3 linked regions of the Lytechinus pictus genome follow. The protein of the gene in region 1 purifies or fractionates together with the protein of each later gene. This does not show direct contact. Links are inferred from orthologs where the notes say so. Each region holds a gene or a part of one and is shown in the gene's direction. Other genes may lie near its edges. The genes, in order: proteasome activator complex subunit 3-like, PSME3-interacting protein-like and importin subunit beta-1-like.

Evidence for each region.
Region 2: the proteins of proteasome activator complex subunit 3-like (region 1) and PSME3-interacting protein-like purify together in Homo sapiens (affinity purification with mass spectrometry; 4 studies listed by BioGRID and IntAct, counting the BioPlex papers as one, with this or other methods). This does not show direct contact. The link is inferred for Lytechinus pictus from reciprocal best matches to the Homo sapiens genes PSME3 and PSME3IP1.
Region 3: the proteins of proteasome activator complex subunit 3-like (region 1) and importin subunit beta-1-like purify together in Homo sapiens (affinity purification with mass spectrometry; 3 studies listed by BioGRID and IntAct, with this or other methods). This does not show direct contact. The link is inferred for Lytechinus pictus from reciprocal best matches to the Homo sapiens genes PSME3 and KPNB1.

What each region holds. Positions count from the first base shown.
Region 1 is NC_087257.1:14,472,464-14,479,399, forward strand, and holds the start of proteasome activator complex subunit 3-like, read left to right. Parts: upstream 1-3,890; 5' UTR 3,891-4,031; coding exon 4,032-4,055; intron 4,056-5,900; coding exon 5,901-5,933; intron 5,934-6,936. Other genes in the region: uncharacterized protein LOC129275040, read right to left, coding at 1-1,056. UniProt on the Homo sapiens protein: Subunit of the 11S REG-gamma (also called PA28-gamma) proteasome regulator, a doughnut-shaped homoheptamer which associates with the proteasome. 11S REG-gamma activates the trypsin-like catalytic subunit of the proteasome but inhibits the chymotrypsin-like and postglutamyl-preferring (PGPH) subunits.
Region 2 is NC_087246.1:47,319,774-47,326,893, forward strand, and holds the start of PSME3-interacting protein-like, read left to right. Parts: upstream 1-4,017; 5' UTR 4,018-4,168; intron 4,169-5,294; 5' UTR 5,295-5,297; coding exon 5,298-5,406; intron 5,407-5,817; coding exon 5,818-5,916; intron 5,917-7,120. UniProt on the Homo sapiens protein: Promotes the association of the proteasome activator complex subunit PSME3 with the 20S proteasome and regulates its activity.
Region 3 is NC_087245.1:3,731,243-3,738,801, reverse strand, and holds the start of importin subunit beta-1-like, read left to right. Parts: upstream 1-4,496; 5' UTR 4,497-4,554; intron 4,555-5,292; 5' UTR 5,293-5,475; intron 5,476-5,977; 5' UTR 5,978-5,983; coding exon 5,984-6,181; intron 6,182-7,559.

The sequences.
Region 1 (6,936 bases):
CTGAAATGCCTCATTGACATCGACGTACCCATTTAAGAGCGCTGCCCCTTCGTCACTGTTGACTCCCATCAGAATGTCATATTGGTGTAAAAGATCCATATCTTGTAGATTATCGAGGGTACGTGGAAAGAAGAGCCCATCAATCCGTGGTTCAAAGTAAGCACCCCCGAGAGCGGTGTAATCGACAGCTACGATTTCTTCCCATGTTTTATTCCGAAGACAAGCTAGATTTTTTGTCCATGATCCTTCAGTGCAGTTCAGGGTATTAATGACGATATTGGACAACCTCCTAGCCTGACCCTCGGAACTGATATAGGAAGCATCGGTTGATGTGCTGCTCTGGATAATAGCTCTTTGGAATAGGTTATTATCGTTTAAAGGAGTAAGAATCTGAGCTACAACTCCTGTAGCTCCCTCACGCCCTTGGCCAACAATGGTAATCATACTCCCGTCACCATTGAAAGCTCCGATGTTATCCCGCACCCACTGTATGGCAAATCTTTGATCCCAGAGTCCGTAGTTCCCCGGTACCGTGTCATCCTCCGTGCTGAAGAAGCCGAATGTGAGGAATCTGTAGTTGATGGTGACGACGATGATGGAACCTTTGACGGCCATATCCCTCCCGATGTACTCCGATCCCGAATAAGCTCGGTACCCTCGACCTGGTATGAACAACATGACAGGCAGTTTGTTATCTTCAGTTGCTGCTGGTGGTACAAAGATGTTCAAGAAGAGACAGTCTTCGCTTATCAACAGATCATCAAGATCTTCCACTGGTGATTGTGGACAGGCAGCGCCAAAAGTCGTTGCATCCAGTGTTCCGTCCCAAGGAAGCTTGGGTCGTGGACGAGCAAATCGAAATTCTCCCACTGGGGGTTCTGCGTAAGGAACACCCATGAATTCTTCCATTGCGTTGCCGTCAAAGTCATAACTGTTCCCTTCGACCTCTCCCAATCCAGCAACGTTCACTGTCACTTGAGCAAACGAAACATGAATGTCGATGATGAATAAAAGTAAAAGGACAGTAACCAGATGAGATGCCATGACTAGCAGCATTGGTAAGTCATCGACATCCACAACATTTAAATAGCTTTGAGTGGTCGCTTAATAATTTCTGCGGAAACTCTTCAAACCTATATATGCAACCTTTCCCGGATTTCTATGTGCCACACCTTTGGAAGATAAACGGTGATTGGTCAGTTATAACTGCTGTTTCACTGTTTGATTTCACCCTTTTGTCTAGAGGAAAATGATCACCGCAGGGACAAAGTACGTGGTATTAGCAAACATTCCGACACGTCTGGCGCGAAATGACTCAGCATCGTGTAACGTAGTCATATGGTAGTGCAGATCTCTGCATACAACTTTGAAAAATATTTATGAAATCAAATAGCAGGGGGTAAATATTGAATCATCCGAGAGGCACTTGTTGACCTTCGCATGCTTTATTATCCTTCTTCTCAGTAAAGCAGGAAAGTTATACATTAAAAAACCCCGAAAACTTCCATTTTGTAGAATAGATGACGAAATCCTTGTTAAAAATGAGATGACGTATTAATATCATACGAGCAGTTGTTCATTCACTCACGAAATTGGTTTTGAAATCCATGACTATATATATTTTAGACGATACCATCTTGAATACATTAGAAAGTAGGCTATGATTGATAACGCAAAGACAGCGAAATGTAAAGATAAAAAAACAAAACAGAAACGAGTCGACAGACCTTCAATAAAGTATGATAAGTGGTGAGAGTGATACAATTCTTACCACGGGAATATTAAGATTTAATTTTATTTATTCATTGAAAAAAAAAGTAATGGGAATGTAACATTGGTAAACGTAAACCCTGCATGCGATCGGATAAGCAAAAAAAAAATTACCTATGCTGCCCTTGGGGTGCCCATTGTCAGGAGGGGTGCATTCTTTTATTTTCCTGCCAACTAATTTTTCCTGTATATAATTCCCTGCTAAAATTGTCTTACAACCAAACAAGAGATCATAAAAATTATATAGGGGCGCTTACCCCCTCCCCCTCCCTGAGCAGGCCCGCGCGTGCAGTCGTGATTACTTAGGACGACTACTACGAAGCCATGCGAACCATCGATGTCACTTTCCGAGATGAATTGAATTCATTTATTTTCCATTAAAAACATGCAAAATCAAGAATATACAAACATTACAAAGTATGAAAATGAGACATTGTACAAATTACATATCATACTTTAAAAATAAATACATATAAAGGAGAAATTATATTTCACTAAAGATCCCATATTGATCTTAAAATTTCTGTGATGATGAGAGGTAAATTAGGCCGGAGCACCAAACAGTAAGTGGCGTATCTAACTTTTGTCAGAGTGAACTTCCGGTCCTCTTTAATTGATTCAGATCCCTTAACAAATATATTGAAGAAAAAAAAGAATGAAAAAACAAATTATAAAAATACATGAGAAATTTAAAAATAGGCCTACAATAAACTACATAAGAAATTAATTATGTATTGACATTCTTTTTTGGGGGGATGTTTGTTAGAAATGTCAAATTTATGTTTTCACCAAAAATAAGCATTCTACAAGCAATAATATGAGTTAACAGCAAAATGTATTTTCAGACACTAATTTGCATCATTTATTTTGAAATATGAAGTTTTAACTTGTTGAAATTTTTCTTAACATTTGTAGTTTCAAAAACCTATAGGCATATATGGGGGTGCAAATTTTCGCCAAACAGTCTGGCAAACTGACACTAAACATGGTGTGAAAAGGCACAGTTAAAGAGATCGATGCATACTGCGGACTGAAAATAGTATAAAAATTCACAAAACAAAATATGATGAAAATTTCATCAAAATCTGATAATAATAAATAGCAAAGTTTTGGCGTATGTGCATGCCAGGTCTATGTAATACATGAAATATCGAGACATTATTTCTCCTATTAATCCTCACCCCCATCGAGCCCTTTGTCAAAAGCTGTATGGATCCGCCCCTGAATAAAAATTCACTTAAGGCGGACGAAAATCCCCCCCCCCCCCCCCCATTGCGATCGACATTGCCAGAGCCGCGCATGTGCGCGCTGCCGAGGTTGTCTGTCCAAGTCAATATTACACGTATAGTCAATAGAACCAAATCTGCCGAGGAACCAAATCTGCAAACATCAAGCTGCGTTAAACCTGGCGGATATGGTTCCGATTAGGGTTGGTGTTGGAGTTAAGTTGGCGCTCTTCAATCTGGTAGATTATCTGCGCCAGGTCGTTTCCGAGTTAGCTGCTTAATTCCCGCATCAATGTCCTCGGCGTTAGACTAGTCTGACCTGTCATATAGCGAGGTGCAATATAATTATGATTAGTTACCACCACCATTAAATTGTGCGTTTTTGTACTTCATAGTATGCAAACTTATATAAGAAGCTAGGTCGAAGCTCAATTTGAGTAGTCTAAGGATTGTCACTAATCATCAGAACAAAAGGAAGAGAGAGAGAGAAAGAGATGGAGAGAGATCAGTGGAATATTCTTATTCGAATCTCTTTGTTTTTTTCCACGTAATTCAGGATAACTTTATAATCTGCATTTCTTCCCAATAATGTTGCTAGATATGATATTGGCTTGTTTAATTTCAGGCTTCTTTGCATAATTCTCCTTTCTCTTTCATTTTTCTTACATTGTAGTAAAAAATGTTCTATTGTCTCAGGAACCTGACAATGGGAACATAGACCATTTTCATGTTGATTAGATTTATACAGATAATAATTCAATTTACATTAAAAACGATATCGGCCATTTAGAACGATATCTGCCGGCGGATACGGTATCCGCCGGTGGAACCAAATCCGCCGCTACACCGGCTGTAATTGCCCTCCCCACCCCCCCCCCCCCCCCCCCCTCCGATCCCCTATCGATAAATCTCGAGCGCGATATCGGATGCGCATGCGTGACACATGTGTTAATACTTAATGGTCGGTGAAAGGCATCTGCTGGCGTAAAATCCCTTGATTTTGACAAATATTGGACTAAGAATTAAAATATCACCATGGCTACTGATGAGGTACATGAGGTGAGATTGAAATTATAAAATTTTTCATGTTTTATTCAAATAATTGGCAAGAAAATTCTAAAGGACCGAGTATGCAGGTTATTCATCACAGTCCCGTACTATCATATCTGCGTGGTATTTCTGGTAAACGAGCCACATAACGTCGACAACAACGTTTTTATTTTATTTAGTCTATATCTAACAAGTTAACTGTTAGACAGTATAGGGGCGGCCCAGTATAGGCTTAAGTTATAGATCTAGTCTACTGCCCAACTTTAGCAAAAGGAAGCAAGTGATGCATCAGTCAAGTTTGAATTATTGAACCGGCCGTCTCCATGCCATGCCATGCCAGGCCATGGTCTCTGACGTGTTAATCAATTGTGGGGATTGGGATTCTGGCAAGAAACCGGGAGGGGGGGGGGGCACTCAGACAGCATATAATGCGTGGTGGTGGGTACATGCATGTGCCGCGGAGACGACCCCCATTTTTACACTCCTATTCCTAATAAATTTCCATTCAAAGTAGGGTGTCTGAAGCCACACTGAAAAGTGTCAGCATAAAACAGGCTAATTTAGGGGAAAATATGGCACATTTTTTCGGGGAAGTTCAGGCTACTAGAAAAATGTGATCTGAATTGATTATTAACTTGTGTTTGGCATGTATGGAAAGAGAAAATTCAGGGGCTTCTTTTGACAGTAAGGACAAGTTTATGTGATCATTTGAAATAAGGATTTAGAGATAAATTGCTAACCCTTATTTTTGTGTGTGTTGAGATTGCCATTTCTCCATGCGTTTTCTATGGGGAAATGAAATTTCTGTTTTGCACAATTTTTTTCACTTTGTCGCAATTTTTCATTGTGATCTGGTTTCCAAATCTTTATAAAAATCATACCATCAGATAGAGCATAAAAAATCCTATTGGACTCTTTATGGACAAGTTTTTGGCATTAATAATGAATTTATAACAGCTCTTGGAAGCTAAAAATTTGGATTTGTGTGTGTCCATTTCTTAACTACACAGTCTATGGCAGAGAAATGCTGAAAATTGACCTAATTTCATTCTTCTTTTTTGCAGCCAATAATTTGATTTTTTTCAAAAATGTTACATTTCTGTCAGTCTGAAGGTCATTTCTCTTCAAATTCACAAAGAAAATGTGATATTTTCTTGAAATAAGAAAAATAATTTTTTTCTCCAGACACCCTATTCAAAGGGCAAGACAACATTTTTATTCGAGAAAAAGAACAAAGAAAGTTGATCCAAGGCCTTGCCAAAGCATTTTCTTCTTATCAAGAAAAAAAGAAGAGACAAATCTGTTCCAAAGCAAATGCAAAGTTTCGCATACAATGTATTTTTTGTAACGCCGTTCCGGCCGCATTGATCCGCTACAGTAAGCTGCATTTTTGGTAGACGGCTGGCAGCCGTCTGTTTCGAGGAGTTTTTTAACATTTTTGATTTTTTTTTTAAATTTCTCCTCGTACACAGTCGACGGCTCGCTATTGTGCAGCCACCATTAGGGGGTTAACAACGTGTTGTGCTCTCATTCTAAAAATCAAGCTCTCTGTAAATCTATCGAGTGAAATTGCGATTCCAAGTTCTTTTCTGTTAGTATTTCCAATGCAAAAAGTAGATTGACAACGGTCAGATGGTCTTGATGGCGATATTGTTGAGAGAGCATGTCTACAGACTACGGGGCCACAGACATGCAGACATTGATTAGCTGGAGGGGGAATTGCCAAACTTAATTAGGACCTAGATCTGATTAAACGGGCTTAACGTTAGATCCAACTCTATCGTGTGGCAGCTACATAATAATGTTTATTTTCCTTTTTTTAGTTTCATTTTTTCTGTTTGATTCTTTATCCAGGTGACTGAATGCAAGGACAAATTACATGAAATGGTAAGATCAAGTCAGAGTCTCGTCAAAGATCCATTACTTTGTAAGGCCTGATAACCTCAACCTTGATTGCAAGAGAATTGAACAAATTGAAAATTACCTCTCTATTCTCTCGCCAGGAAAGCTAGGATAGGGGCTGATATGATTTTTTTTTAGCTTTTGATTCAATGCTCAGATATTTAATTATTGTATACTGACATTTTGTAAATTTGCATTGCAAGAGATTGATTTAGTTGAACACTTTCTGATACTAATCAGGCCTAAGACGATGTCAAAGAGTGTCCAGTATTTAATTATTGATGATTTTGTTTTGTTAAATGGCATATCATTGTCCACACATGTACTTAGTCCTTGGAGTTGCTTGTTTTAGTTTAACAAGTTAGATTCACTATTGATTCTCAATCATGTTTTATTCATATAATCACCAAGTTGAAACATTTCACAAAGCTCTCATGAGTGACTTCACTTCACAAACGAGTGGCGATCCTTTCTTGTAGTACAGTAATACTTATGTGCACCAATTTATTATTGGTGTTGATTAAGCTCCTAAAAAAGGATGAGCAGTTGTTTATAAAGTTGCTTGTAGCTTACGAATAGCTTTATGAAACACCCAAGTGGCCCTTTCAGATTGAAATTGCTGTTAATAAGCATCTGAATGCAAACTTCATTTATCTAACTTTAAATAGTAGGGAATTCACATTCGCTCCTACTTTGTTAAGAAAGGGAAAATCTGCCTTTGCTAAATCTCAAGAACTGGGGATGAAGCATCTTATATATATCACCAGTTTTCACTGATCAGCAGATATGTGCCAATCAGATGCAAGTATTTCTGTAGCCTACATGTATAATGTAATGATAAAAATTACTGACCTTTTGTTTCATGAAATGCTCCCTAAGTGTGCATAATTCATGATGCATAACTTAGGAACAGCTTTATGAAACAGTCCCCAGTGCAATAATGTTTGAACTTCAAGCAAAAAATGATCATAATTTTTCATTTTTCTCC
Region 2 (7,120 bases), on another chromosome or scaffold:
AAATCTGACGTGAGACGGTTCCAATCTATTATACAAGTGACGATATCTGCAGTTATTGTTTAATTATGGCTATTATGTAAAAATATAGGTGTCCGCTATCACAAACATCAAATATTGAAGGTTTATTAATCTCTGCTTGTTATGGTGCATAAGTATTCTAGGTTTGGTAGTGACTGAAATTGTCAAGTGCATCTCATTCGAAGCGAATTTAAATCATTTTAAAAATGTTACTATCGCTGTTGAAGTCGTTACAAGACTATCGATAATAGATAAACATATCATATTTCATCATGTACTTTGAGATTTATTTGTTAAATGTAATGAATTGTGATTGAATTTGGTCTTAATATCTAATCAGTATGAATCCATCTCCATTGAACTAAATGGTATAGTATTTCACTAAATCTGACCTGAGACGGTTCCAATCTTTTATTTGACAAGTGACGATATCTGCAGTTATTGTTTATCATGGCTATTAATGTAAAAATATAGGTGTCCACTTTCACGAATATCAAATTCGATGTCAAATTTAATTACTTTGAAAGTGTGATAGTCTCTGCGGAAGTAGTTTAGATCATCAGTCAGAAATTATAAATTATATTCCATTAATATATATTTAGTGATTTATTTGCCGTATGTAACGAAATTTTATTGTATTATGTCGAAAACATCTCATCAGTGAAACTAATAAATCTGATTTGTAACCGATTACAACTGTTAGTTGTACAAGTCATTATGTAATAATTTGTCACCCTTTTCACGAACCGTTCCATTAACGAGGACCTGTACCAAATTGAAAACATATGGCTATTCATATTCTCGTTTTTCATGACTGATTTTTGTTCCTTTTGAATACTAATATAAGAGAACGATCGAGACAATTAAAGACTGAAGTTTCTTTTCTTGAGATAAAATATTTCGACATCTAGTTCTGAATATATAAAGATATATTCATATTAAAATGATTAATTTTTTTTATTTTCAAATTGATTTTGACCTCTTGGGACGGATCGTGATACGATGACCAATTAAATTAATGTAGAGACTTATGTGGTCTTTATTTTGATCGATATTTGGTATTTTGGCATTGTTACCTTGTGTTCAAAGGGTTCCCTTAGTTTAGTTACATAAAAATCATGGTTGAGATACTCAATATTTTGAGTGCTCTTTGAAATTCCGTTATGAAATTTCATAATTCATCTCCGATGAATCACCACCGGTACTATCAACATCATCATTGTCATCCTCATCATCATCACCATCATCACCATCATCATCATCATCATCATCAACATCATCACCATCACCACCATCAATATCACCTTCTATACCTACATCTACTCCATGTTAATCCTATAATAGTTTTTCAAAATTTCACTCTCTGTTCATCTCATCACATTTACCACCAACATCATGAACATCATACAAATTTGATACAGAAAATTTATATACAAATCAATTATATTTATAATCTTGAATTATTGGTAATATCACAATTTACTCTTTAATAGTGACATGGATATTTTTTATATTTTCAATACAAACAATACATCATCTGATAACAACTATTACTCAACTGAAGAATTTACGTCTAAATTCAAAGACATGGAACATAATTTCAGTTTACTTCACATAAATTCTCGAAGTTTGAACAAAAATTTTGAATCAATTGAATCATTACTTCTTACTCTAAATAATTTCAAATTTTCTATTATTGGTGTCACGGAAACCTGGCTTCACAATACTTCACCAAACATTTTCAATTTGCAAAACTATAATCTTGTTAGGCGAGATCGTGAAGAACAAAGAGGAGGAGGTTTAGCATTTTACATCAGTGACCATTTGCAGACCAAAATAAGAAAAGAAATATCATTAAAACAAAGTGAATCTTTATTCTTAGAAGTCATGAATCCTAAAGGTAAAAATGCAATTATTGGGTTAATTTACAGACCCCCTCATGGTAGAGTAAATTTATTTTGTGAAGACCTCGAAACATGTCTCCATACTATCACAGAAGAAGAGAAACAAATATTCTTAATGGGTGATTTCAATACTGACCTATTATCTCAAACTAATGAACATGATATATTCCTACACACCATGCATTCATTTTGATATTATCCCCATATAGATAAACCGACCAGAATTGACAGTCATTCCTCAACACTTATCGACAACATTTTTTCAAACATATTAAACAGAAATACTACCAGTGGATTAATAATATCTAACATATCTGATCATTTACCGGTCTTTCTATTATGCGAAAACGATATTGTAAAAGATAATACACCGAATTTGATAATGAACAGTGCGTCCCACAAAAAACGAAACCGAGATTTATCGATGGTTTATCATAACTTAATCACAAATACAATAGACAAATGACCTACCATTTTAAAGCTTAGAATCTCCTCTTTCATCTGAAATTACTAAGATTATTTCTCATTCACGCATGAGTGAGCAAAAACAATTTGAAGAGGGGGTACCAAAAAGTCACTTGGCGGGCTGTATCTGGGTTTCAAAAAAAAATTCAATATCTGCTTTTTAATTTGATACCTCAATTACAGAAAATGGTCAAGAAATAACGAAGTTCTGCTTATTTGAAATAAAGCTTGAATTTTAATAATTTCATAAAATGAAGAGGTTTTACAGGCTAGCGTTCCGAGTCACTCGACACTCCGTTTAAATGAAGCTCTCCCAAAATCTGAAATTGGGGTTTCAAATTCCCCACTTGAGCTCCCATTGAGCCATTGACACAACACGCAGGGCAATGGGGTTCCTGTGTTATAAGCTGGTGGGGTATTTTTTTATCACAGGAATCTCGTAATGCATCCGATTTTGATGAAATTTTCAGTGTTATGTTTGTTGGATTTTTCTATATTTGTTCAAATCAACTTTTTGTTGGGATGGACTTGTCCTTTAACATGAATAGAGTGTCCATTTTTTAGGTCTAAAATCTGAATGTTCTTTCGCTTGCGCTTCGCGCTCGCATAGTTACATACACCTATCCCTTTCATGATTACAAAAAAAGTGCTTAGAATGACCAATTTTTTAGGTCGGAATGTAAAAAAAAATTCAGCTCGCATCATTTGTTGAAATGTAACGTCTTCACAGGTCCCTTTCGATCAGGCCAGAACGTTTATTAAAAATTTCTGCTCGCGCTTGGCGTTCGCAGTAATTATCTAGTTACATACGCCTCTTGTTCAGGATCACAGACATAGAATGTTAAATCAACAGGACAAAATACATGAAAGTAAAAAAAATCATAGCTCTACGCCATGGTGCATTGAAGGGAAAACACAGGAAAGAAAGTTTTGGGAAGATACGCATGGACGTACGACAGAGAGGGGGGAAATATAGAGAAAGGACTTAAGATGGAAAGAGCTAAACACAACTTAAGAGAGATCGAAAGAGAGACAGGTGGAGAAGAGAGAGAGAAGGGGGGAAGGGGAACACTCACATGTTCACTGTCGAATGCCGGCAATTAAGCTGAAAATGATTGACGAAAGATGAAATAGTTGAAAAGGAAAACATTGAATTTCTTCTTCCACAACCAAATATGCCGAAAGTGAAAGATGCCTTTATATGGCTTGAAATAAAATGCATTTATTTATTTATCTATTTATGTATGTATGCATTTATTTATTTATTCATTAATTTACTTGCTTACTTATTTATTTACTTTATAATTTACTTATTTATTTACTTCTTTATTATTTATTTATTTATTTATCTATTTATTTATTTATTTATGAAAATAATGCGATAGTTTGAATAGGGCAGAAAAAATAATTTAAGTCAGTTTTACTGGGGATTGAATATCTACTCTGAATTATTATCAATCTACAGTGGCGGATCTACGGAGGGGGTAGGACGCTTTACCTCGCAGCTCAAACCAACTTGTCAAACCCCCTCTTAGCAATTAAAAGCTAGATCCGATCCGCCACTGATGTGCCTTATAAATAAATTTTACAGAGTAAGATGTTTTTCTTTTCAAATTGGAGGTTTAGTTACACAGTACTAGAGCTCGTTCGTCATCGATCGATATGCGATCTTATGAAGACCAATCAGAGGCTAATCAAAGTTCTAACGAAAGAAGAAGACTGAGAATGAGGGGAATAGAAAATATAATTACATTTAGGATCAATTCAAAGTGAACGTCTTGGTAAGTGTTCAGGAAGCCATGGTTCATCAACTTCTGCGCTCCGGACGCCATACACTCGGCGCATAATCATGATAATGCTCCCCGTAATGCCCGAGGCCCGAAAGATGGAGAATCGAGCCCGAGGACTCCGCCTCCGGAGGCCGGCGAGCGCGAGCCGCGAGGAGCTCCACCGGATTCGCCTTATTCTTCGGCGGATCAGAGCTCGCAGATAGCCTTGCTTCTTGTCTTGATTCATGCCATGGCATGGCTAGCCAGGCGGCTTCTTGAGAGTAAAAACCATTTACTAACGTAGGCTCACTCTAAATGAAGCCAGGCAGTCCTCCCTATTCATGATCTGCGTGTACCGCAAAAAACCCTGAAACTTTCGCCCCCGAGATTTCTACTTTCCTTCTAAAAGTAAAAGATCTAGCTCTAAATCATGTACATGGGATAAAACTTCATTTCCGACATTTCTACGCTCTCGTTGTTATTTTTAAAACAAGAATTCATCAAAAAAATGAAAAAATATTGTGAAAAGACGGAAGAGACTTGCCCGATGTTTACGCCGCCATCTTGTTTCTTATTTGTACTTCCCCAACGTTACGGACGCGAGCAAATGTAATTTAGGGTCAATAAACGTAGTATATTATTATTATATAAATGCACTAGTGCACGCAACAGATGTCGACTTTTTCCATGAGCCATTGCGAATTTCAGCCTGTCCGCTGCAACCGATAGGTGGCGTACCTTAATGTCAATACACCAAATTCAACCACACTAGAGTTTTCAGCACACTAATATCTTATCATTCTTTTTGACTCCAGCATGTGTACACTACCGAAACCCATAAACAGCATAAAAAACAAACATTAAGATCTAGAATCTTAATCTTCTTTTTTTGCTTAGTATTTGAGTTTTGAGTTGAAATAGTACAGTGTAATTGAGCAGATAGCCAACTGTCTCTAAGTGACAGAGTGGATTTGAAGAGAAGAAAACTGGGGTTGATAGACTATACAGGCTTATTACCTAGTAATTTTTTTTCAAAATTGAGTGAAAAAGAACGATTCAAGAGATCTTGATTATCAAGGTAAAATGAATTAACAACTGATTCCCTTAAATTGCCTTGTTATTTCTTTTATCTTTTCAGATAATGGCAAGTTCAAATGTCAAAACATTTGTTTCTGAGAAGGAGCTGTCTGAGCAGCGACAACGTCGACAAGAAGAGTGGGATAAAGTTCGTACTGCAGACCAACCAGAAGGTTTGAATCATTTTTTGACATTTCCAATTATCTTACATGTACAGGTATATTGTTCTGGCTTATTTCTTCTTTTTTTTTTGGGGGGGGCAGATGGTGCACTTGCACCCACCAATTTAGAAAGTTTTATTTTGTAATATACTTTCTTTTTCATTCATAATTTTATAAAACCTGTATATCTTTTTATCTTTCTAAAAACAGACCTTAATGTCCATCTAATAAAGTGACAATGTGGATTTGACGATTTCAGACATCTATACTAGGCTATTCATTGAAATCAAGTAATGTCATTTTATTGACAGATTTTGACAGAGAAGATAGAGTCAGTGGTCCGAAAAAATATATTGCGTGTTGATAAGAATCAATAAGATTTTGCCACATCATAGAATTTTTCCTTCTTGTATCTTTTCATAGAGTGTCCAGAAGAGGAGTATGACCCTCGCTCGCTTTTTGAAAAACTCCAAGAGCAGAAAGACAAGAAGCAGTCAGAATATGATGAGCAGTTCAAATTTAGTAAGTATTGACAATTCATTGCATTTTTATAGGTCATCCACTGCATAGTTAATGATTTACTGTGGAATTTATTCTGGATAAATTAACATATTTCTTCGTTATTGAATGCTAACGATGAAGACAATGTTGAATGATCTTTGTAGGTTTGCATGGTGGAGTTTATATTGTGGAGAAGGTTTACGGTTCACCATGTGTAATATGAAGAAGGGAAAGGAAGTACAGGTAGAAAAATTGAAATGGAAAGACAAGAAAGGATGAAGAGAAGAAATTAGAAGTATTCTTTTTCTTGAAAGTGAGTGAAGTCCTGAAAAGGACTGTAAACCAGATGAGATGAGCTGAATATGGCTTGAGTAGCGATGGTTTGAGTTGTAGCAGGATGAAGTGAAAAGAGGTTACTCGGCGTTTCGGGCAGGTTGACTGTCTTCTAATTTCCTCTTTTCATCCTTTCTCGTCTTTCCATTTCAATTTTTCTGCTTGTACTTCCTTTCCCTTCTTCATATTACACATGGTGAACCATAAACCGAATTGTAGGCATAAGGCAGATAAGAGTGACAGGGATATGATAAGATATATTTATGTATCAAGATTGAAGGTCACAAGCTACATTATCATTGACATATTGATTTGGATATACTGGATGAAATTTTTAGTTGGAAAGTCGATTATATAAATGAATGATTCATCCTCACAATCCATAAACATGATCAAGCCACATCAAACTAAAATACGGGATAGTTTATCAGATGACTTCGGCAATGGTATTTTATCTTACGATTCAGTCGTTTCATTTCGGAACCTGCGTACCCGGATGTTGCAAAATTGGTCTGAAAAGTTGCTTGATACTTGAATAAAAAAACTCCTAAAATGACACGGCACAAACATTTCATTTTACAGATTTATCACAAACAATATTGAGGGGGATGTTTCAACCCCCTCCCCCTGCCCCAGTCTTTTTAGGGTTAGAGGAGTCAAGTTGCATGAATGTACTTTTTTAATAATTAACTTAAAGGTCAAGTCCACCTCAGAAAAAAGTTGTTTTGAATCAACAGAGAAAAATCAGACAAGCATAATGCTGAAAATTTCATCAAAATCGGATGTAAAATAAGGAAGTTATGACATTTTGAAATTTTGCTTATTAGAGCGAGTCAAGTTGCATGAATGTACTTTTTAATAATTAACTTAAAGGTCAAGTCCACCTCAGAAA
Region 3 (7,559 bases), on another chromosome or scaffold:
CGCCGCCAGCTTGTTTCCTATAGTATTGTTGTTATTAATTAATAAAGTAATAGGGAGACCGTGCGGACGTCAAATGCAATTTGCATTCCGCCTTTGCCTAATTGCCTTGGCTGCCTTTTGTTACATGCCGCACAGACCTTCCAGCAAGCAGCACATAAAAATACGACATGTCTCATGATTTTGCCATCACAAATAAAAATATTCAATATACCGTAGATCTATATCAAACTAAGCCAACAACCATGACAACATCATCATCAAATATATATATTCTCAAGCTAATCAATGTTGAAATATCAAGAGATCGTGGTGTTTTATTATGTTTTTGTCAGGACCCCTCACCTGTTTGAACACTGGTTTGTCAGCGCGAGTGCTAACATGCAAGTTCGTGTGGGTCGCACAAATGGTCAGAGATTTTGGAGCAAAAGTCAACTTTGAAGCATTTTGTGGTCACGTACCCAACCTGCACGAGGATTCAAAGTTCATCGCAGGTGTCGCTGTGCGTAATGCTATAGAGTTTCAATGTAATTTTACATGTACTTTGTGAATGAACGTGAGTGTATTGCTTACACACATTCAGGTGGATAATTTGCATATATGTAAACTTAGTGACTCATCGATCATGGTGTAATCATTCAACCGTGTGTGCGGGTGTATTTTGATCTATTTATCATCCCCTGTTTTACATCAATTTTGGAATTATCTTTGGTCGATATATCAAAGTCTCACGGCAGCAATCATAATCAACCAAACAACAATGTCAGTGGAAGAAGTAAGTCGGTACATAAAAAATATTTCATCAAGATGCAACGCAGTGTTTCATGGTACTTTTGTTGAAGTCGGAGGAGACGTAGACGGGAGAGCTTCAGGCAACCGTGAATACAATGGGAGGCTGGTGTGAATTTTCTAGCCGGCCAGACTTTGATATATCGACCGATGAAAGTTTACACCTATTAAGAGAGAGTTTTAATAAATGACCTGTAAATGGTGTCATAATTCATATATTGGTAACATGAAAAGAAAGGTTAAGAAAATGTGTAGTAATGGAAGAGGATGCGAGAGCATAAAGGAGTACAAAGTTAGTGCAGTGGTTGAACTGGGTCCATATTGTAGTGAGATTGGTGTAACTGTTGGAGATGTGCAATTGGCAATGTGTTGTGAGAGTGATTGGTAGAAGCTTGGTTGGGAGTGTCTGACGAATGGAATAGCAAATGTATTATATAATTGGGCAAAGAGCCAGGAAATGTGTACGAAGCAATTTACACTGTTAACTGAGCTACTTGTTTATATTGATGATAATGTAAGTGCTCAACATATCTACAAAAAAATACAAAATGTTTGACGATCCGCGTTAGCAGGTACAAAGAAGATAAGCTTCATGAATTTATGAGAGAAGTGTTTGTTAGGGAACGGAGTAGGTCAGTAGTAGTACATGTAAGGCAAAAGGGAAGAGTTGTAAATATTGTAGGGTGAGCGTAAAGTAAGTGATCAAAATGTAAATACATGTAATTCTTGCCTGCGACCAAATATGGTCAGCCCCCAAAAGAGGTAAGAGAAATGAAAGTGATGGAAAAGAAGTACGGAAAGATGGAGATGAAGTTAGATTCATGTAGGAAAAGATTAGTAGAGACGATCGTAAAGTTGAGAAATGTTAAAAGAAAAGAATTGAGGAAAGGTGCATCACTAGAAGAAAGAAAGGCGACGGTTGTTCGGATGGATAAGGAACTACAATTAAATAGGATTAGAATAAGTAAACTCGAACGAAAATATGCAAAAATCCGCAAAAAGTTGAAGGAGAAAAGAGGCAAAAGGAGGAAGGATACACTGCTAACTACGAAAAAAAAAATTGATGAGAAAAATAAGATATGACAAGTGAAGATTTTTTTTTAAATCTAGGTTTGATATGTGCATAATTTATTTAATTTTTTTATTCCTTTGTCATGAAACTCCATATCGCTATCCACAGGAAATGCCAGGGTACATTCAGAGTAGGAAAGGCAACCTAAATGGCCCTGGTAATTTCTAATTTTTGTCTCGCCTGCATAGCAGAGTGAGACTATAGGCGCCGCTTTTCCGACGGTGGCGGTGGCAAAGGCGGCGTCGTCAACATTGAAATCTTAACCAAGGTTAAGTTTTTGAAGTTTTGAATTTTGGACATAAGAGAAACCATGTATCCTTGAATATCATGCGCGAGTTTCAGGTCACATGACCGAGGTCAAAGGTCACTTACGGTAAACGAACTTTGGCCATATTGGGGGTATTTGAGGAATTATCTTAACTGAAATTTTATGGATCTAGTTCATGAAACTTGAACATAAGAGCAATCAAGTATCCTTGAACATCCTGTGCTAGTTACAGGTCACACGACCAAGGTCAAAGGTCATTTAGGGTCAACAAACTGGTAATGTTGGGGGTATTTGTGGAATTATCATCATAACTTTAAAAGTCTATGGATTTAGTTCATGAAACTTGGACATAAGAGCAGCATTGTATCCCTGAATACCCTGTGTTTGTTTTAGGAACATGGCCACGATCAAAGGTCATTTAAAGGTCAATGAACTCTGGCCATGTTGGGAGTACATGTATGTGTTGAATTGGCATCATAACTTAGGAAGTTAATGGTACTTGCACATGAAACATCGACATAAGGGTAATCAAGTATGAATGATTGTTTTGCACATGTCTTAGGCCACATGATCATGGTCAAAGGTCATTTTGGGTCAATGGACATAATATTTTATTATCTTATTAGTGTTTTCTTCTGTGAATAATTATTATTAATATTAGCTGTTTTTCAAAGGAAGCACTGCTGCTATATCGAATTGCGTAATGCAGGCGAGACTGCCAGAGGCGTTCCACTTGATTTGAAAATGGCCTGGTAATTTTTCTTTTTTTTTCAATGGCAGAAAAATAAAGTAATGTTTAACACTGGTGATAGCGAGCTCATGGCCAGAAATGTGGTTTGCTAACAAGTGTAAATGTATAGATCTAGATCAGACTATTTGTGTCTGTGTGTAGATCGAAGAAAACATAAACAAGCTTTAGTGTTCTTGACGGTACAGTTTAAGGCTTTTTATAATTTCAATATTTTTAAAATACTTTTTCGGGCCACCAAATTTTAATGTTGGGCCACCAAAAAAAACAACTTACGAAAGTATTGGTGGCCCGAATGGGCCACCCCAAAAAAAGTTAATGTGGAGGCTTGCCTAGTAAATATTTTAAAATTGTCCACTGCAAAGTATTGCTCTGACTTCAAATGCTCTAACAATCAAATTGTAGTGGGAAAATAACTAAAATATTCTTAAAGGACAAGTCCACCCCAAAAAATAGTTGATTTGAATAAAAAGAGAAAAATCCACAAGTATAACTCTGAAAATTTCATAAAAATCGAATGTAAAATAAGAAAGTTTTAAAGTTATGCTTAAAGTTATGCTTAATTCCACAAAACAGTTATATGCACATCCTGGTGGGTATGAAAATGATGAGACTGATGACGTCATCCACTCACTATTTCTTTTGTATTTTATGATATGAAATATTCTATTTTTCTCCTCATTGCCAAGTGAAACAACAATTAATTCCTCCCTGAACATGTGGAATGAGCATTGTTTAATACTATATGATTCAGTCAAGTTGGTCCTTATCGTCAAATCTATAAAAAATGAAATATTGTATAATTCAAACAATAAAAAACAAAAGAAATAGTGAGTTAGGGACATCATCGACTGCCTCACTTTAGTTGTGCATATCACTGTTTTTTGAAAAATAAGCAAAAATTTAAAATGTCGTAACTTTCTTATTTTACATCCGATTTTGATAAAATTTTCAGCGTTTTGCTAGTTTAATTTTTCTCTATTTATTCAAATCAACATTTTTCTGGGGTGGACTTGACCTTTAATGAACATTTGTGTGATGTCCCATACACGTATGCACTCATGTGTGGATGTGACTCTGCAAAATTGAGCAGATTTCTGCAAAGCATTGGTCAAACATTTGATGCCCTAACAGAAAAATTATGAAACAAATATTTTGACAGAACATTTTTGTTTGTCCAATACATGCATTAATGTGGAAAATGGTTATTTGATTTGTTTTATCACTTGGATGAAAATCCTACAGCACACTGTACAACAGTTATTAGGTGTATAATAATCAAAATATAAATAATTTATTGGTTGGATTGCTTAACTACATGTAAGCTAGTCGTACAGACTGTTTCACCCTAAGGCTCATCAGAGTCGCTGATGAGCCTTAGGGTGAAACAGTCTGTACGACTAGCTTAGTTAAGCAATCCAACCAATAAATTATTTATACTCAGCTCCTACACAGTCGAGCACTATTAGATATTGCAGTATATCACTATATACTTACCTACCTAATAATCAAAATATACTTTTCATTCACTTTTAGATGTTTTTTTCCCACCATTTATGACATGATCAAATCTTTAAATTATGAAATGTATAAACACTTGTGATTATATTTTCTTATCCAGACACAGCGGAGCTAGAAGCAGCACAGAGGTTTCTAGAACAGAAAGCCAGGGAAAATTTGGTAAGTAACAACTTGGTCATTTTTTTTTTTTTAATTACAAAAACCTAGACTTTTGTAAAACTATGATAATTAGGTACATGTATGTATGAGGGAAAGTAGTACTGTATGGAGGAGAATATTTTAGTTTGCCCTTTTTTTCTCTCTGACGGTTTAGGAAGAGGTTCAATAGTGAATTACATACATGTACATGTACATGTATTTAACTTTTATTCAAATTTGTAGTTATTGTTATATTACTTTTGTTTGATGGATTTTTGACCGCTTTATCAAATTATCAATTTCCCTGAATAATCCCTTTCTATAAAATTCATTTATTCTGTATCAGAAAGGTATTTAATCTTTGTCCCATTTCATGCTGGCTTTTTATCAAAACAATAGTTTATTATTAAAATATGAGTTATGTTAAACCAAACTGACCTTGCCCTAAAATTCACAAAATTTAAGGCCTAGATTATGTAGCCAGCCAGGGCAATGAATTGTATCTGTTTTAACTTGAACTGGCCATGCTGGATACATGCACATTGGTATGATAGTAGCTGGTGTATCCTACCCTCTGCTTGTGTACAAATACAAGCTGCATGTAATTAGGCTTTGTATAATATTCTGTACATGCACTTAAATTTAATTTTTCTGATCTGTAAGGCATTTACATGTAATGATACACAAAACTCACATATTTAAATAATTCAGTGGCTACAATTTTTGTGTCAGTAATAATGTTTTATTTTGCTTGTACAGCCGCTTTTCCTCACTCAACTTTCTGAGATCCTTGCAAATGCCGATAAGGCTCATGTCGCTCGCATTGCAGCGGGTTTACAGCTGAAGAATGCACTTGTATCCAAAGATCCCAATATACGGCTTCAGCTCCAACAAAGATGGTTAGCGCTCTCAGCAGAAGTCAGGAACAATATCAAGAGACAAGTAAATTGATTACATGTTTTTTTTTCATAGTTTTTGTAATAGACTCAAGTGTCAGGCTAAATTATATTCTGATAACTGTCTTTTGATCAAGCTACATGTACCATTAAGGAAATAGGTTAATTTGAACCTGTTCTCATTCTAGCAAACAAGAATGTCAAGTTGAATTTTTTTAAAAGATTTTGGTTGGCTTTGGTAATCAGTAAAGTTTGTTGTGCCAACATGCCTATGATAATATTGCACTCATCTCTTTACAGTTATAATCATTTGTAATTTATTTATTTTCATTTTTACTGTAGTTTATTTGATGGAAGCTTGTGTTAGAATATCCACTGTAGCTGTTTATTAAGGAGAGAGAGGAGAAAAAAACCAGGATTCTATTATCCTTTCCTTGCACTTATGAATGTAATGTAAGTATTAATGATGCAAAGGTGTGAAGAATAGGATGAAATTTGTTGTGGCACTTGCTCTATCCTCAGGCACTTTTTTTTTCTTTTTAAACTAGGTTTTAATGACATTGGGTACAGAGTACCAGGGTCCCAGCTCAGCTGCACAATGTATAGCAGGAATAGCGTGTACCGAGCTTCCTGGTAAGTTATGGCCAGAGCTTTTACCTCAGTTGGTCAGCAATGTCCTCAACACTGCTCAAGGCACTGACCACCTCAAACAGAGTTCCTTAGAGGCTATCGGATACATCTGCCAAGATATCGTGAGTGAAAGCCAATCAGAAAACAAACCTGTTTCAGTTTTGAGTGATTAAGAATATGTTGCGTAGTGTAATACGCTTTTTTAAATTGATGAACATCTGTTCCATTGTCATAAATTTAAAAAAATGAGGAAAAAAATGAAATTATTTTTTATTTACTAATTTTGATAGATACAATATATAATGGGCCAAATACAATCTGTAGAGTTCTCAAGGTGCAACAAAAGAAAGAAGAAGCTGCTACTTTTCTCAATTCTTGTAAGATTTACAAGTAAAATATGTTATTCAGAGAGATATCCATTTGATTTGACATAAGTATTTGGCTTTGAATTTTTATGCTGTAAATACCTTCACGCTAATACTCCCAGGGTATTTTTATTCTTGTCAGTATGGGGGGCATTACAGGCCCCCTTAAGATCTCTTAAAAGTAAAAAGTCAGCGAGTAAAAAAAAATTGCACCACAAAAATCGGTAGTATTATGGTTAAATTGGAATGAATGAATTTTTGGAATTGAGATATCAGGACATTGTACTGTCAGCAGATTATAAAAGGTTTAATTCAAGTGTTATTTCTTTTGTATAGAGTTTAGCACGTCACATATCCATTCCACAGAGGGGAGACCTTTGAAGGACCTTTGAAAGACCAAAAATTGGCAAGGTCTTACAGCATTCTCCAAGATAACTGAAATTTGTCATCTCTGTGGAATGGCTCAGAAAGACCCTCAAAGAATTCTGAAAGACTGATGGATATTTCTTTTCTTACTAGTCTTAGACTTCAATGGTCTTTCAGAGATCTTTTATGCAACAAGTGATCTTTCAGAATTCTTTCCATGGACTGCCTGGTCTTTCAATGATCTGTCAATGACTTTTCAATGATCTCTCATAAGTCTTACAGTGATCTCCCAAAAAATCTTGAGAGACTGTCGAAAGATCAAGCAAAGACTAATAAGAACCTTGAAAGTTCATAGAAAGACCGCTGAAAGACCATTTTCCAGTAAAGGGGCCATTCCACAGAGAGCAAGACCGCTGAAAGACCTTTCAAAGACCATGAATTTTGGTCGATCTTACAGAGGTCTCTCAATGAACCTACAATGGTCTTTGAGGTCTTACACGAGTCCTGACCAATCTTTCAGCGGTCTTCGTGGTCTTCATGGGCTCCAAAACTTTTTGAAACGGCTCAAAACAGTCTTAGAACAGTCTTAGAGGAAAATGGTCTTTCAGTGGTCTTTCAGCAGTCTTTCAGTGGTCTTTCGATGAACTTTCAAAGGTCTTACTAGTCTTTCAATGATCTTTCGGCGGTCTGTCAAGATTTTTGCGGAGATCACTGTAAGACTCATGAGAGATCATTGAAAGATCATTCAAAGATCATTGAAAGACCAGGC